Linked DNA regions of Struthio camelus. The protein of the gene in region 1 interacts with the protein of each later gene in a pairwise test. Links are inferred from orthologs where the notes say so. Each region holds a gene or a part of one and is shown in the gene's direction. Other genes may lie near its edges.

Evidence for each region.
Region 2: the proteins of CDC42EP2 (region 1) and ARHGAP26 interact in binary tests that used the Homo sapiens proteins (3 or more experiments, as listed by UniProt). The two-hybrid records come from large-scale screens. The link is inferred for Struthio camelus from reciprocal best matches to the Homo sapiens genes CDC42EP2 and ARHGAP26.

Annotation. Positions count from the first base shown.
Region 1 is NC_090976.1:824,275-831,791, forward strand, and holds the start of CDC42EP2 (cdc42 effector protein 2), read left to right. Parts: upstream 1-4,281; 5' UTR 4,282-4,481; intron 4,482-5,547; exon of another isoform or gene 5,548-5,787; intron 5,788-7,517. Other genes in the region: POLA2 (DNA polymerase alpha subunit B), read left to right, coding at 286-394, 1,030-1,136, 1,582-1,641, 2,193-2,319, 2,429-2,575. UniProt on the Homo sapiens protein: Probably involved in the organization of the actin cytoskeleton. May act downstream of CDC42 to induce actin filament assembly leading to cell shape changes. Induces pseudopodia formation in fibroblasts in a CDC42-dependent manner.
Region 2 is NC_090954.1:1,927,635-1,935,193, reverse strand, and holds the start of ARHGAP26 (rho GTPase-activating protein 26), read left to right. Parts: upstream 1-4,308; 5' UTR 4,309-4,462; coding exon 4,463-4,616; intron 4,617-7,559. UniProt on the Homo sapiens protein: GTPase-activating protein for RHOA and CDC42. Facilitates mitochondrial quality control by promoting Parkin-mediated recruitment of autophagosomes to damaged mitochondria.

The DNA of each region.
Region 1 (7,517 bases):
CACGGCGCGGTCCGAGCCTCGGGTGTGGGGTAGCTCTGCTGCCGGCTTCGCAGCTTGGGTGGGAAAAGGAGATAAGGGGATTTTGGGGGCTCGAGGGGGATTTTGATCCTCCCAGAGCCTGTGCCCCCGACGCGGGGCTTTCTGAGGCCGCCCGGCCGCAGCTCGTCCACCCGGAGCGGGCGCCCGCCGCGTTTCGATGCCTTAAAAGCTGAAGCGGGAGCGGGCGACCTGCGTGGCTTCGGCTCCCGTTTTCTCCCCCGTAACGGGTCGCTCTCTTCCCGGCAGCGCCGGCTCTCAGCTCGTCTTCGTGCCGTCGCTGCGGGACGTTCACCACGACTACGTGTACCCGCAGCCGCCCTTCGCCTACCCCGAGCTGCCGAAGGAGGACAAGCCGGTAACGTCCTCGAAATCAAACCCGTCCTCGAGCGAAACGGGATAACGGGTTTTGGTCGCTCGTTTGGGGCGAAAAGCGGCGTCTTTCTTGCGGGTTTGCCCTCGGCCTGTAGAGCGGACCCGTCCGGAAAGGACCGGCAGCGGTTCTCGCTGGCAGGATCCGCTTGGGAGCTCCCTGAGGAGCAAAAATCAGCGGAGCTCAGGCTTCCCGGGAGAATCCAGCTGCGATTCACTTTATTTCTACTCGCTCGCGGGTGAGAAAGCGAGAGCGCCAGGGAAACCTCCTCTGACCAGGAGGAGGAGCTGGGAACGGATGTCCTGGCTGCTCCTGCCCCTGTGTCCCGCTCGTGAGGTCGTGGGGCTCCCCGAGACGCGGGGAAATAAGGAATGCCGTAAAAGATATCAAGATGGTTTTGCCAGGAAAAACGCATCGTTTGAGGCGGATTTGTAGAGCCCAGCCCTACGCGTCTCCTAACCCTCTTTTTCCTAATTTAACGCGTTTCTGACCGAGGAGCTTCCACGCCGCTGTCGTGGCGTCGGGCGACTCCCCAGCCCGTCCCTCGGGTTTAGACGGATTCGGAGATGCCGGCGGCGCCCTTGCCGGAAAAACCCATCGCGTCCCCCTTCTCGTTTCAGCGCGTCCACTTCGTCTCGGACCCCTGCACCCTGGAAATCAACGGCACCGTCTTCGGCTTGACCTCCACCGACCTGCTCTTCCACATGGGGGCCGAGGAGATCAGCAGGTGGGCGCCCGGAGGCGGCAGCGGTCCCTTGCCACGTTTTCGCGGCGGGAGCTGCCGAACCCAGACCCAGACTCGCCGGGTTTTAGCCGCTCCTGCGGAGAGAAGCCTCAGCCGCTCCCTCCGGGGTCGTTTCGCTCCGTTTTGCCTCTCTGGCATCCCGCCTTGGCGAACAAAATGCCACCGGCGTTTCTCTGCTCGGGCTGTTTTTCTCCTGGCGCGTCGCGCTCCGTTTGCGGGGCTCGGAGGAAGAGCTGGCCCGAGCCCGCGGTGCTGGGCAGAACAAAACGCTTCGTTAGCCGCTTGCCTGCGTCGCTAATCAGGCCCGCTGGCTAATTGAGCGGCGCAGCATGTCAACAGTGACCTCACAAACGAGCTTAAGCGCTACCTTTTATTCCCCCCCCCCCCGCCCCGACTCCTTTTATAGCTTGTTTTCGGTCTCTTACAGCTCCTCGGGCATCTCGGACAGGTTCACGCGGATCCTCAAGCACGTCCTGACGCAGAGGAGGTGAGGCGAGTTCCTGGATTGTCGCCTAGCCCTGCCGAAAAAGGGCAAAACAACTGAAATGGCGCGCTGCCGTCCCTCCCGCCCCGCTTAGGGTGACGTTTTTCAAGTCAAAATGCTCCTTTTTGAATTCGATAACCCTCTAGATGCGCGATTTGGGGGTGCTTAATGCCGTACGTCTTCCAGACCGGCCTGCGCCGTCCCGCAGGACGCAACTGGGTCGGATTTTCCAGGCCGGTGTCCCGAGAACGGCCGGTAGCAGATGCCTGAGGACGGGGTAAAAGGAATAGGAATAACTGCCCACTCCGGAACGATCCGGTGGTTTTATGGCTCTCCAGATTAGCTCCGAGCTCCCGCTTGTTCCCCTTGAACAGACTGTAAAAGAGCGGCAGCTGTACGCTGATGTAAATTTGACCCAAAAGCTATGTTCTAACACCAAAACTGAATCCGGTTTAACGCCCAGCCGGCTTCCTCCGCCGTGAGGAGGCGTCGGCGCTCTCGCGATGCCGGAGGACGCGGAAGCGCGGACAACCTCTCTCTGCTCTCTCCGGCAGTTATTACCCGCTCTACCCGCCCGCGGAGGAGATGAACGTGGACTACGAGAACTTCTACAGCTACGCGGCCCTGCCCGTCACGCCGGACGTCCTCGTCGCCCCCTCGGAGCTGAGGTACTTCGTCAAGGTAAAGCGGAGCGGGCTTTGTCCGCTCTCCCGTGCCGAAATTCCCCCTGGGAAATTCTCCTTGGACGTAAGCTGGGATCGGTTTTAACGCGCCGGCTCTTTCTCCGCAGGACGTCCTGGGCTGCGTGTGCATCAATCCCGGCCGCCTGACGAAGGGGCAGGTCGGCGGGACCTACGGGCGCCTGTACGTGCGGCGGCACGACGCGGAGGGGGAGCGGAAGAGCCCTTGCGTTGCCGCCCAAGTTGTCAAAATTTAAGCCTCCGCTGGGCGGAACGACGGCGGGAGACGGGACGAAGCCGATCTCTTTGGCCCTCTCCCTCCGCGTAGCCTCAGGACTGCTGCTTTCGGGCTGCTTTTTTTGTGTATTTTGGCACCTGCAAAAGGAAACAACCAAACGCCAGGTGGGTGCTGGAGTTGGCCCGAGCGTGGCAGGAGCCTCCCTTGGCGTCACCTGCTGCCAAGCTGGGCTGTTCCTTCAGGGAAGCAAATAAAATGCACTTTGAATTTTGCGTATAAAAAGAAAAAAAAACCGCAATGCCCTAACGCAATTAATCTGTGGGTTTCGGCGCTTTGCGGGGGGGAGTTGACCCGATTAGCCCCCTGGATTTGCGTTCTTTCCCCCCAAAACTGAACGCCAACGGCGCGGAGCTGGGTGCCCGCCGGCGCTGGGGAATTTGGGTGCAGAAAGTGCTTTTTAAATTTTTTTTCCCTCCTCCCTTTTTTTTTTCGCCTGGATATTCACGACGCCTTACACCAGCGAGGGGTTGCACAGGCGGCCGTCTCGCTCGCTGGTCTCCTGCCTTCGGCTGCCGTGGCGATTACAGGCTGTGGGAAACCGGAAAAGAAACCTCGTCAGTCGGTGCCGAGCGAGGGAAACCGCGTGCTTGGTCTTCCCTCGCTAATTTTTCCGCCTAATGGGCTTGCCGTCCTAATGAGCGCTAGCTCCAGCCTCCGCAGCGTCCTTAAAACTCGGAGCACCGCGAGGGCAGCGTCGCCTCTGCCCGATACCCGAGTCCTTCCCCGAAGGGTTGTTGGTCGCCGCTCAAAGTGTGAGACTGTATTTTAAAACACGTCAGAGGGTGGGGGAAAAAATAAAGACAAAACAGAGCTAACAGCCGCTTTCGGCCCTTTCTAGCGACGCTTCAGCTCCGCCACGGACAACTCTATATGCGTTTAACCAGCCTGCGCATGTTCCGGAGCCAGGTTTGGGCTGGGCTTGGCCTCAGTTTCCCTCACAAAAAGGGTGTTTTTAGCTAAAACGCGCGAGCTGGGGCGAAGGGTGCCACGTCAAGGGGGAACTCGGGGCTTTTCGCCGGGGGGGGATCTGAGGTGAACGAAGCACCCGGCGTCGGCTGTTGCGATCCGGTGTCCTGCCCGGAGTGTCTCTTGCCTCTTAATCACACGCCACCAGCTCCTCTTGAGGAGGCTAATCTGCAATTTTAACGAGCGGGGGATCCGGCCGGGAGCGTTTTAACTCGGCCGCGTCCTTTCAGGCCTGACTCCGAACTCAAACCGGGCTGACGTTTAGTTCCACCCCTCCGTCCGTGAGCTCGCGGCGGCAGAACGAAACAGCCGGGCTCTTTCCAGCGCCACGTCCCCGAGCCGAAACTTAATTCTGTTAGCTGGGAAACCGGGGGGGGGGTCGAATCGGTGGGAATTCCCAGGGATTATTTTGGATGGATGAGTAATGCCGCTCCATCCACGTTCGCTCCGTAGGGAATCCTCCCTTAGCGGCTGGAGTGGACGCAGCTTTTTATCCCGTTTTGCGCTTAATCCCCCCCCACCGCCGCCGTCTTGCGAGTCCTCCCGCCGGCAGCATCCGATGGGGAAAAGCCGTGGCGACGGGCTCCTGCGAAACGCTGCTGTTTTGCTGCCGGGCAGTCAGAAAGGCTGGAAAAACGCTACCGTTCTCGTTCCGTTGGCGGCGGCCGAGGCTCCGTTGAGAGCAAACGTCGGCACCGGGAGAAGCGGGGAGCCGAGGCGGCGCGCTGGGCCCGGGGTGGGGCTTGCCAGGGCTCGGGGCCGGCCAGCGCCGTCGCTCCAGCATTGGCCGGGGCGGCGAGGGAGGGAACAGAGCGCCGGCTGGATGCGGCTCATCGCAGTCGGGTGCGCGAGATCGCAAAAGACGGGAGGAAGACGAAGGTGGCGGCTCGGTGGCGGCGGTGAGTACCGGGGAGGCCGGCGCCTTGGCGGAGGTTTCGGTTTTCTGGTTGCGGGGGTGGCGGGAGGGGGACGCACGCCAGAGTGGCGTTTCCCTACGGCGAAGCCCCTGGGGCATCCCGGCTCCTGAAGCATCCCACCTCCGTCGCCCGCAGAGCGATGCTCCCGTCCCCGCCGGGAAGGCCTGCTGCGGTACCGGCCCGTTTCCCTTCCCGTCTCCTGTCTCTCTTCCTGACTCCGTGCGGCGCCTCCGTTTCCCGGCTTGCAAAACGCGGCTCGTTCCCGGAGCGCTGCCGAACGGGGAAGCGATGCGGAAGATAAGCTGCGCGTGTGCCGGGGAGGGACGCGGCTTTTCCACGCTAGGAAGGAAGTTTTTGTTTCTCCGGTCGCTGCTGTCATGTTTCCCCCCTGCTTCCCTGCCGCCACCGACCCACGAATCCAGTCCTGAAATCCCATCGTGCCGCTTATCTCATCCCGTCTGCTTGCCGCCAGCTCCGAGACCCTCCGTGGCGTTTGCTTTCCCAGCGGATGAATTCGGGAATCGGCACAGCTCGCCCGGAGTCGAGCTGGGGCACTTTTTTTTTTTTTTTCAACCGAGAAGGGAGGAGGCAGAAGCAAATTCTCGCCCGCTGGAGACGATACCGCAGCCGAAATCGAATCCAGCCTATTTTAAATCTGGGGGGGGGGGGGGGATCGCTTACGTGTTATCTATAAAAAGACCCAATTGCCTCCTTTTTTTTTGCTACCGATCCAGCTATGCTCAGTGCGCTGCTTGGTAATTTTAGCAACCAGCTGTGAAGTTTCTACCCGGCTCGGGATTAAAACGAGCTGATTCGTGATCCTTGAAATAGATATCGCGCTCGAAACGCCAGCGGCCGGATCCTCCCTGCCCAGAGCGAGGCGGAGGAAAGGATCGCGGCGTAAAAGCGCGGAGGGCCCTGGCAGGTTTTAAATCCGCGGCTGTGTCAGCATAGCTGGGAAGGCGCCGAAGATATCCGGTGTCGGGACTTTGGCTCCGATACAGGGATATCGGAACGACCTGTGCCCTGCTCCCACCCAGATCCATCTGCTTCCGAGGAAGATGAAAAGAAACTCGGAGCAGGCGATTAAAAGCTCCCGCGTCCCACCGGGGAATTCCCGGCTCTCGCCCCCGCCGCCCGGGGAAGGGCTCGGCTCACGCGTCGGCTTGGGTGGTTGTTGCTGGGTTCGAGCTGTTCCCGTAGTTTTTCCAGGGAAGGATTTCAGCCCGTAGCCGCTCCAGCGGGAATCGGGGCAGGGAATGCAATGAAGCTCCCCGTCCGCTCAAAGGTGGGGTTGCCCGGCGAAGGGGGGAAACCGAGGCGCGGAGCTGGGGTGCGAGGCGGCCTCGCCCGAGTCGATCCGCGCCCCAAACCGCCGGCGGATGTTTCTCCGCCCGGACGCGGCCGAGCCCGGCGAGTCTCCTCAGCTACGTCGCGGCGTGTTTTCGGCTGCCAGGGAACGGGCTGCTGCGCGCGGGAGATGCCCGCTTGGGCCACGTCCTGCAACAACCAGAAGAGACCAATTCTTCCCTGCGGGTTTCCGTGAGGGCGGCGCTGGGCGACGCGGGCCAGGGTCGCAGCAGCCCCCCCACCCCAAAACGCATCCGCCAGGGTTTTTCCCGCTGCTCTGGAAGACCCGTATTCCCCATCCCATCGTGCCTCCAGCTCAGCAAGGGGATGCGCGTTCACCTCCCCAGCAAACATCCCTCTTTTGTGCTGCAAAGGTGAAACTTTTTTTTCTCCCCCCCAGAAGAGGATCTGCGACACATGCAGCCTTCTAGCGGCTGCTGGAAAGAGCCTCGAATGAGGAATCTCTTCCCAAATTTTGTTTTTGTTTTTTTGCTTGTGCATCTCCTGGCGCAAGTCTTTTGCGCTCCTCTTTTAGGTCTGCTTTTACACAAGGTTTTCCCCCAGAAATAGCTGCATTTTACCCAGGTGACTATCCTCCCCCCAGCTCTCTCAGCTGATCTAATTCAAGCTGTTACCTCCCCCTTGAAGGTACCTAAATAACGAAGCTGACTAATAAATGAAGCTGATAGGGCACCACCCTGGGGGAATACACCCAGTGCCCTGTTCAAATGGGCTGCCAGAGCACAGGAAAGAGGCCATTGGGTTGAGCGGATATTCGGAAACGTTTGCTAGGAAGATAGATAGGAGTTACCGGCTTCGTTTTCTGTGGCAGTCATTAACTCTTGTCCTTGCTCACTTGATTTCTGGACCCTGGAGTGTTTTTCACCAGACCTGTGCGCCCCTATATAATGAATTTAAGCCTTAATTACCTTTTTGTGGACCCTTTATAAATAGTCTGTGGAGCTGCCAGGGTTCAGGGTTGAAAACTTGCTGCTCTGTCCATCGGTGAGAGCCTGAGAAAGTTCAGGAGCGGCGGCCCTCTGTGCCGCGTGATGAAGCGTAAGTCCCTGCAACCGGATCAAAAGGAAACAAGCTTTACGCCGGGTGCGGCCGTGGGAAATTAGCTAAACGAGCTAATCTTAACACAAGCTGGGAAAAGGGGGCGGGTGCCGCGGAGCTGTTGCAATGAGCGCTCCCCGAAACGCGTGGTGAGACGCTAGACCTCACGCTTTAGGGCTCGAGTTGATCTCTGAATTATTAGAGACGGCGATGAAACCCAACGTGGGAAGCAGATTAACTGGCCTCTATTTTGGGGGCCTCGGATCCGCTTTTGGAGCGTTTGGTGTTGCCGCTGCCTGGAGCAGGGAAGCTGAGGGCTGCAAAGAGGGAAGAAGTAATCCAGTCTCTGTATCTGCCGGGTTGGCAGGACGAGTCCCGCTTCGGGTCCGTTGAAACTCTGCCTTTAAATCGCAGTCGAATCGTGAAGCCGTTCCTCCACAGCTGGGACGAAACCCCTGGGAACTCGCGCTGCTGCGAAAACAGATTCACTGGGCCCAAATTTCCCTGAAAAAGGGGGGGGAAAGTAGATTAGCGGTGGAACAGGTTGCCCAGAGGGGTTGGGGCATCTCCTCGGGGAGGTTCGGAGCAGGTTGGGCCGATGCCTGTCGG
Region 2 (7,559 bases), on another chromosome or scaffold:
GGAGAAATTCCCTTGATGATAGTGGAAAGTCATGGATGCTACTGCAGGAGGTGTGACTCGGACATCGTTCCATGGCAAAAAAAATATGTAAAATCATATTAATCATGTTTGTTATATGTAAAACACACTAGCATTCAGTAGCGGGAGCGCTCTTTATCATGCTGAAGGTGTCTCTTAAGACTGTTTGCTGCAGCCACATGGAAAAGATCTATCAGACAAAAATACACCCAAAGCATGTTTCCAGGGTGACATGACTGCATTGGAGAAGAAGGGGGAGCTCTAAGAATGTCTGCTTCAGAGTGTAGTATTCATAACTAACAAAAAGTCCAGACCCAACGATCTGATCCCTCAAAAGGTTGTCAGTACAATAGGTCAATACATGCCCTTTGGTTTATAACAGGGAATTCATACAGATTCATTGCAAAGGTCTAATGTATTATTTGTAACTTTTTTTTTTCATATACAATGCTTCCTCTGTGCCCAGCTCAAAAAAAATCCTTGAGAGCAAGAGAGACATGGGTGATATGTAGTCGCATAATAAACGGACCTTGAACACTGCTGCTTGAGGGCAATTCCAAGAAACTTCTCATGTGGCTCCTGGTTTCTAATAGTCAAAATGCCTACTGTATTCTCCTGGGTTTTAAATAAATGTTTGCGTGTCCCACTCTGTTAGCTTTGGGATCTAATTAATGGGTGGTTTTACCACCTTCGTTCTCTCTGTTTCTCTGGCCCCTCTATGGCACTGGTCCTTATTTCCACAAACAGCGGAAACTACAGGCTTAGGCTGGTGAACGTCAGCAGTCTGAAGATAGCCTCCAAACTCACTGATGCAAGATACCTGGAAGGTGACTGGGTTTAACATCTCCTGACAGACAGTGTAGTAATTGTACGCGGATGCATGCACTGTAACACGGGCCTCGTTGCCTCCCCGAGGCCTGTCTCTGCATCTGTCTGGGTTGCTCTACAGCAGAGATGGGCCTGTGAGATGCAGTGAGCTGACAGCAGCTCTGTGCCATTGAAAGGGGAACGGGCCACTGCCCCATCCCCTCCCTGCTCCTGCTGTCCCTGTGGGTCTTGTGCCAGCTCTGGTGCTGTCAACCCTTCTGGGACCTCACTTATCCCGCTTAACTGGCAGAAAATTTCTCCAGAAAAGGAGAAGTGGTTGATTTCTACCATGTTAATAGCTGATTTTCTTTCAAAGAAGGTCCTGTAAACACTACAGGAAGCACAAGGAAGGGGGCAGGAAAATGCTGCTTGTGGTGGGTCAGCAAAAGGGAAGCAGGGGAGAGGTCATGTGCTCAGCCGGATTCGGGAGCTGATCCAGCTGAACTAATTCTACGCAAATAATTGTTCATTTTCAGACAAAGCTGCCTAATCCAGCTGATTGCCTGACCCACCAAGAGCTAATGCTGGTGCAAGGGGAGGCTGGGAACAGTAGCTGGAGCTGATGCGAGTTGACACTACGGCACTCTTCCTTTCTCCCGCTTGGTCAGGACAGTAGCGGCCCATGCACTTGCATCAACACCAGTGGTTATCTGATCACACAGTGAGCTAAACTAGGTAGAAACTGTTCCTTTTTTTTCTTTTTGTTTGTTAAATGCTGGATTAGTTTTCTGCTGACTCAGCCCTCTGAGGGCTCTAATTGTGGGATGAGCGTCAGGGACTATGCAAGAGAGAACGTGTTAATGCATGGTCAAGGACAAGCTCATGGGTGGGAGTGGGGGATTGCGGTGGCAGCAACTTTGATCTGCCTCAGCTATGTGTAAGCACAGCTTTAGAGAAGCACAGAAAAGTACTCGCTAGAGACTAATGACAGGCCAAATTCTGCACCCGCTAGGATCACTAGGAATGTTTCTGTTGGTTTAAATGGAAGTATTACCAGAGCCATGTACAGTGTCAAATTGACTTAGCTCACTGGAACGTAAGACAAAGTTGCTAAAAAAAAAACCAAACAAGCAAACAAAAAAAAAGCTCAAAGCAGGCAGGCAAATACATGAGGGATGCAAACTCTTAGCCACAGACAGGAGAACGTGGAAGTTTTGATTCTCAATTTTTGTTTTTTTGTTTTGTTTGTTTTTCCTTTGCTGTTCTTCTACAGTTGGGATGTATGATCCCAGCAAAGCTTGGCTGGAGTATATCAGCGGCTGTTTCTCCCCATTGCCTGCTGCCCTGCTTCTGCCAAGAGTGACACTCTGGGAGCTCAGACCTAATGAGGAGCACAGTGTAAGCAAGCAGGCGGAAGGGAGGACAAGTTCATATCTGGTGCATTGATTGCTGCATGCTAGAGGCCTGGGTTCTGCTCCTGGTGCGCGTGTGTGTGATACTGTGCATGTGAGAGAGCTTTGTAACATCTCAGTTTCGTCCTCATCATAAAATGATGGTCTCAACACCATTACTTTCTGTGATTCTGGAGAGGTGGAAAAGTTGAGCACAAAAATTGTTTCCAGTCCCAAATACTCTGATCCTCTAAGGCAGCGTCCTATAAATCTAGTTACAGGTTCTGCTCTATTAGCTGTAAGTGCTGGAACACTGTTTTAATATAAGCAGTAGCAATGTAGAAGGATAAAACCAAAAAATGTGCTGCTGTGGCTTTGTACAGCCTAGAATAAAGGAGCAAATACAAATAACTAGTGCTTTTACAGGGTTGTATGCATAGGGCATAAATTACAGCTAATTAAACTTTATACCCTGCTTTTTTAAGATAAGCATTTAATTAGTATTACATCCACTTTATAATTAGGAAATCTCATGCAAAAAGATGTGGCTCATCAACCACACTTGAAGGCAGTGACTCGGCTAGAATTAGGCTGTGGCGTGACGATAGAGAAAATTGTGCTTTAGACCTTTAGCGGGGAAAAAGCAGCGGGTGGCAAGGGATTGCGTTAGTATCAGGTCACTATGCCTGGACACGTTCACTAGAAAACACAGATGGATTAACTGTAGCACCAGGCTTGTGCTGGGCCACATATTGTCGGTGTTACACGGGGTCTAAACTTTGTGCAGGACCACGTCTCTCTTCCCCAGTTTGCAAATAAGCATCAAGCTGGCACCAGCTCCGCATCGTGTTTCACGGCTGACTGGACAGGAATGCCGTCCTGTCGCCGCGCTTGATCCCGAATACATTTGCTGCGTAGCTCGAGGATTCGTGCGTGCTGAACGGCAGCCTCGCGGCCTCCTCCTCGCCAGCTTGCGCAAGCTGGAATAGCTGAACTTCCAGGCTCCTAGGGAGGGGGAATTCCAGGCATCCAGGGATTACCAGCAAATGTGCCCGCTTGTCACCGGCCAGAGTGATGCTGCTGCAAGGGTGGGAAGCCACCGTTAGCGAGAGCGAGCTCGGGCTCGCCTGCGCGTGGATGAGCCATTCGCTGGTGTCCACGTTAACGGCTTCTGCTGCGCGCGGTTGGGGCCGGTGAGCAGGGCTCAGCGAAAACGAGGTGTCTGCAAAACCCCGTCTCCAGCTATGCCACAGCGCGCGGACTGTTTGAGGCCCGAACCTCCGGCTGCGATCAGCTCGCCCCGACCTCGGCTCCGCCACGTACTCAAGGCACGCGTTGTTCCCAGTCTAGCGGGCCAGCACTGACACTGTTTCTTCCTTTTTTTTTCTTTTTCCTAACTTTTTCAATTTTTCCTTTTTCCTCGCCTCCCGGGCCTGAGCGAGCAGGGCGCGCCGGGCGCCCCCGGGCTGGGGCGCTGGGCGACGCTCGGCCCTGGCGTGAGGCGCCGTTTCCAGGGCTGACGGGAGGGATTTCCTCCAGCCGCGCTGTTAAACCCGGGGCCATAATCCGCGTGGCTGATGCTGAATGGAAGGGAAAACCCGGAGGGCTGGTGGGCAGCGGGGGGGGGGGGGGGGAGGCAGCGGCTGCTCGACGCCGCGCGGGCAACGCGCCGCCGTCCGGATCGATCCGGATCGATCCCCTCACAGCGGCGCGGGCAGGCCCCGCCCCGCCCCTCGGCGGGCAGCGGCGCCGCTGATTGGCCGAGGGGCGGCGCCGCGTTCGAAAGGGGCCAGTCGCTTCGGCCCGAGGGCGAGGTTCGGCGCGGCGCGAGGCGGGGCCGGGGGGGGCGCGGCGCGAGGTGGGAGGCGGGGCCGGGGGCGAGGCGCGTTCCCATTGGCTGGCGGCGGGCGGCGGGGCGGGGCTCGGCTGGGAGGCGGGAGGGAGGCGGGTCGCGCCGGGCCGGGCCGGGCCGGGCCGCGCTGCGCCGCGCCGCCAGCCGTGCCCGGGCGGCGGCCCCCAGCGCGGCGGCAGCACCGCCCCCCGCCGCGCCTCTCGCTCCGCGCCGCTCGCGCTGCCCGGCCCGGCCCGGCCCGGCCCGGCCCGCTCGGCCCGGGGCGCGCCCCGCGGCGGGGCCGCCTCCCCCCGCCGGCGCGCGCTGCGCCTTTTAAGCTCTCCCGTTTTTCTCGTTTTTAAAATTTAATTTAGGGTTTTTTTTTTTTTTCCCCTCCTCCCCCGCGGCCGGCAGCATGGGGCTGCCGGCGTTGGAGTTCAGCGAGTGCTGCCTGGATAGCCCCCAGTTCCGGGAGCGCCTCCGCTCCCACGAGGCCGAGCTGGAGAAGACCAACAAGTTCATCAAGGAGCTCATCAAGGACGGGAAGTCGCTCATCGGCGCCCTCAAGAGTAAGTGAGGTCCCGGGGGTGCCGGTCCCTTCCCGCGGAGCCCCCCGTCCGGTCTGGTGCGGGCTGCCTGGTTCCTGGCCCACCTGGTCCATGGGAGTCCACCTGGGCTGAGGCAGCTGTCCTGGCCCACCTGGTCCATGGGAGTCCACCTGGGCTGAGATAGCTGTCCTTGCTCACCATGGTCCGCCTGGTGCATGGGAGTCCACCTGAGCTGAGGCAGCTGTCCTGGCCCACCTGGTGCATGGGAGTCCACCTGGGCTGAGGCAGCTGTCCTGGCCCACCATGGCCCACCTGGTGCATGGGAGTCCACCTGAGCTGAGGCAGCTGTCCTGGCCCACCATGGTCCGCCTGGTCCATGGGAGTCCACCTGGGCTGAGGCAGCTGTCCTGGCCCACCATGGTCCGCCTGGTCCATGGGAGTCCACCTGGGCTGAGGTAGCTGTCCTTGCTCACCATGGTCCGCCTGGTGCATGGGAGTCCACCTGGGCTGAGGTAGCTGTCCTTGCTCACCATGGTCCGCCTGGTGCATGGGAGTCCACCTGAGCTGAGGCAGCTGTCCTGGCCCACCTGGTGCATGGGAGTCCACCTGGGCTGAGGCAGCTGTCCTTGCCCACCATGGTCCACCTGGTACATGGGAGTCCACCTGGGCTGAGGCAGCTGTCCTTGCTCACCATGGTCCGCCTGGTGCATGGGAGTCCACCTGGGCTGAGGCAGCTGTCCTTGCTCACCATGGTCCGCCTGGTGCATGGGAGTCCACCTGGGCTGAGGCAGCTGTCCTTGCTCACCATGGTCCGCCTGGTGCATGGGAGTCCACCTGGGCTGAGGCAGCTGTCCTTGCTCACCATGGTCCGCCTGGTCCATGGGAGTCCACCTGGGCTGAGGCAGCTGTCCTGGCCCACCTGGTCCATGGGAGTCCACCTGGGCTGAGGCAGCTGTCCTGGCTAATGATGGTCTGCCTGGTGCATGGGAGTCCACCTGAGCTGAGGCAGCTGTCCTGGCCCACCTGGTGCATGGGAGTCCACCTGGGCTGAGGCAGCTGTCCTGGCCCACCATGGCCCACCTGGTACATGGGAGTCCACCTGGGCTGAGGCAGCTGTCCTGGCCCACCTGGTCCATGGGAGTCCACCTGGGCTGAGATAGCTGTCCTTGCTCACCATGGTCCGCCTGGTGCATGGGAGTCCACCTGAGCTGAGGCAGCTGTCCTGGCCCACCTGGTGCATGGGAGTCCACCTGGGCTGAGGTAGCTGTCCTTGCTCACCATGGTCCGCCTGGTGCATGGGAGTCCACCTGGGCTGAGGCAGCTGTCCTTGCTCACCATGGTCCGCCTGGTGCATGGGAGTCCACCTGGGCTGAGGCAGCTGTCCTTGCTCACCATGGTCTGCCTGGTGCATGGGAGTCCACCTGGGCTGAGGCAGCTGTCCTTGCTCACCATGGTCCACCTGGTCCAAGGTAGCTGTCCTGGCTCACGATGGTCCACGGTGCATGGGAGTCTACCTGGGCCAAGGCAGCTGTCCTGGTCCACTCAGTGCCTGGGAATTGACCTGGGCCATGGCAGCTGCCCTGGTCCATCATGACCTGCCTGCCTGGTCCCCCTGACTCATTGTGGTCCACCTGGCCCCATCCCTCATGGTGGTCCTGGTCCCTCTCTGTGGCCCACCTGCCCCTCACCTGTGTTGAGGGAGCGGTGTTGTGCCATGCATGGGTGTAATGGGGCAGGAAACACCTGGTGGCATGCCGGTGCGCCCCGGCTCGGGTCCAGCCGCCTCCTGCTGCGGGGAAGGGCCGGGTGAAGGCAGCGGCAGAGCAGCGCTCTGCAGGTTGCACTGTCGCTTTGCTGCCTGCGGGGAGGCCTATCTCTCTCCACAGCTTTCTGCCCGTGCCAGTCTCTCCCGTCCGAAATCCCCAGCGACGGGTTTGTTGTGGGGAGGGGACAGGGGACACAGGCAGTGCTGTGCCTGTCCCCAGCTCTGCCTCTGGACTTGGTCCTGTTTAAGGGGTGATGGGTGCACGTGCAACGGTTAGTGCCCTGTTTCTGGCCGCCCTGAAGGGAGACGGGTGGGAGCGTGTCTCCCTGCGGGGCTGGCTGCCCTCGGCCGAGGGTCGCCGGCCTCGCTCCCCGCGGACGTCGCAAAACCCCCGGGATTATCCTCCCATCTGAGGTGCGTGCGGCAAAGGCAGCTGGCGAGAAGCAGCCTCTCGCTGCGCCCGCGCGAGGATCCCAGCTGAGCAGAGCTTCGGGTTGCCTGGAAACTGAAGTTTTTTGTTTCCTGCTGGGGGTGTCCTTGCGACCTGGCCAAGAGGCAGCGCGACGCCGCTGGAGCCCTGCCGGCAGCGACCGGGGCACGGGTGCCCTTGGCGGGGGCTCAGGAGCTCGGGGGGTGACGGCCGCGGGAAGCCCGCGATGCCGCTGGGAGGGCTGCCGGGGGCTGCGGGGCCGTGCTCCCGGCTGTGCCGTCTCCTCCTCCTGAGCCGTCCCTGCAAACGGAAACGGAGATTATTGTTTGTAGGAGAGGCGCTGGGTGAGGGTTAAAACTGCAAAATGCTCCAGTTTTTTTTTGTTTTGAGTTCTGCAAGAGAAGGAAGTTCTGACACATGCAGCTGGCTATTTTGGTGCTGAGGGGCGATCCGGCGCCCAGGGTACTGCACGCAAACACCCGTATCTCGCAGCGTTGCTTTAATATGCTCTACCTCCATTCGCCAGTCCCACCTCCCTCTCGTTGTATTAACAGATTAATTTTGCTTGCGTCTCTGCAGTTGAAAGACTGAAGTCCTTTCACATTGTCTCATGCAGCCCTGGTTGTACGGTCACTGTGGTTGGGTCTGCTATAGTAGGTTGAAATGTGCTCCTTGAATGGCAATTTTGTTTCTGTAATTTCCCCAATAAGGTAATTTGGGGGTTTGTGGTTTGTCTTTTTCACTGTGAAGTGGCCGAGATGATGGATGG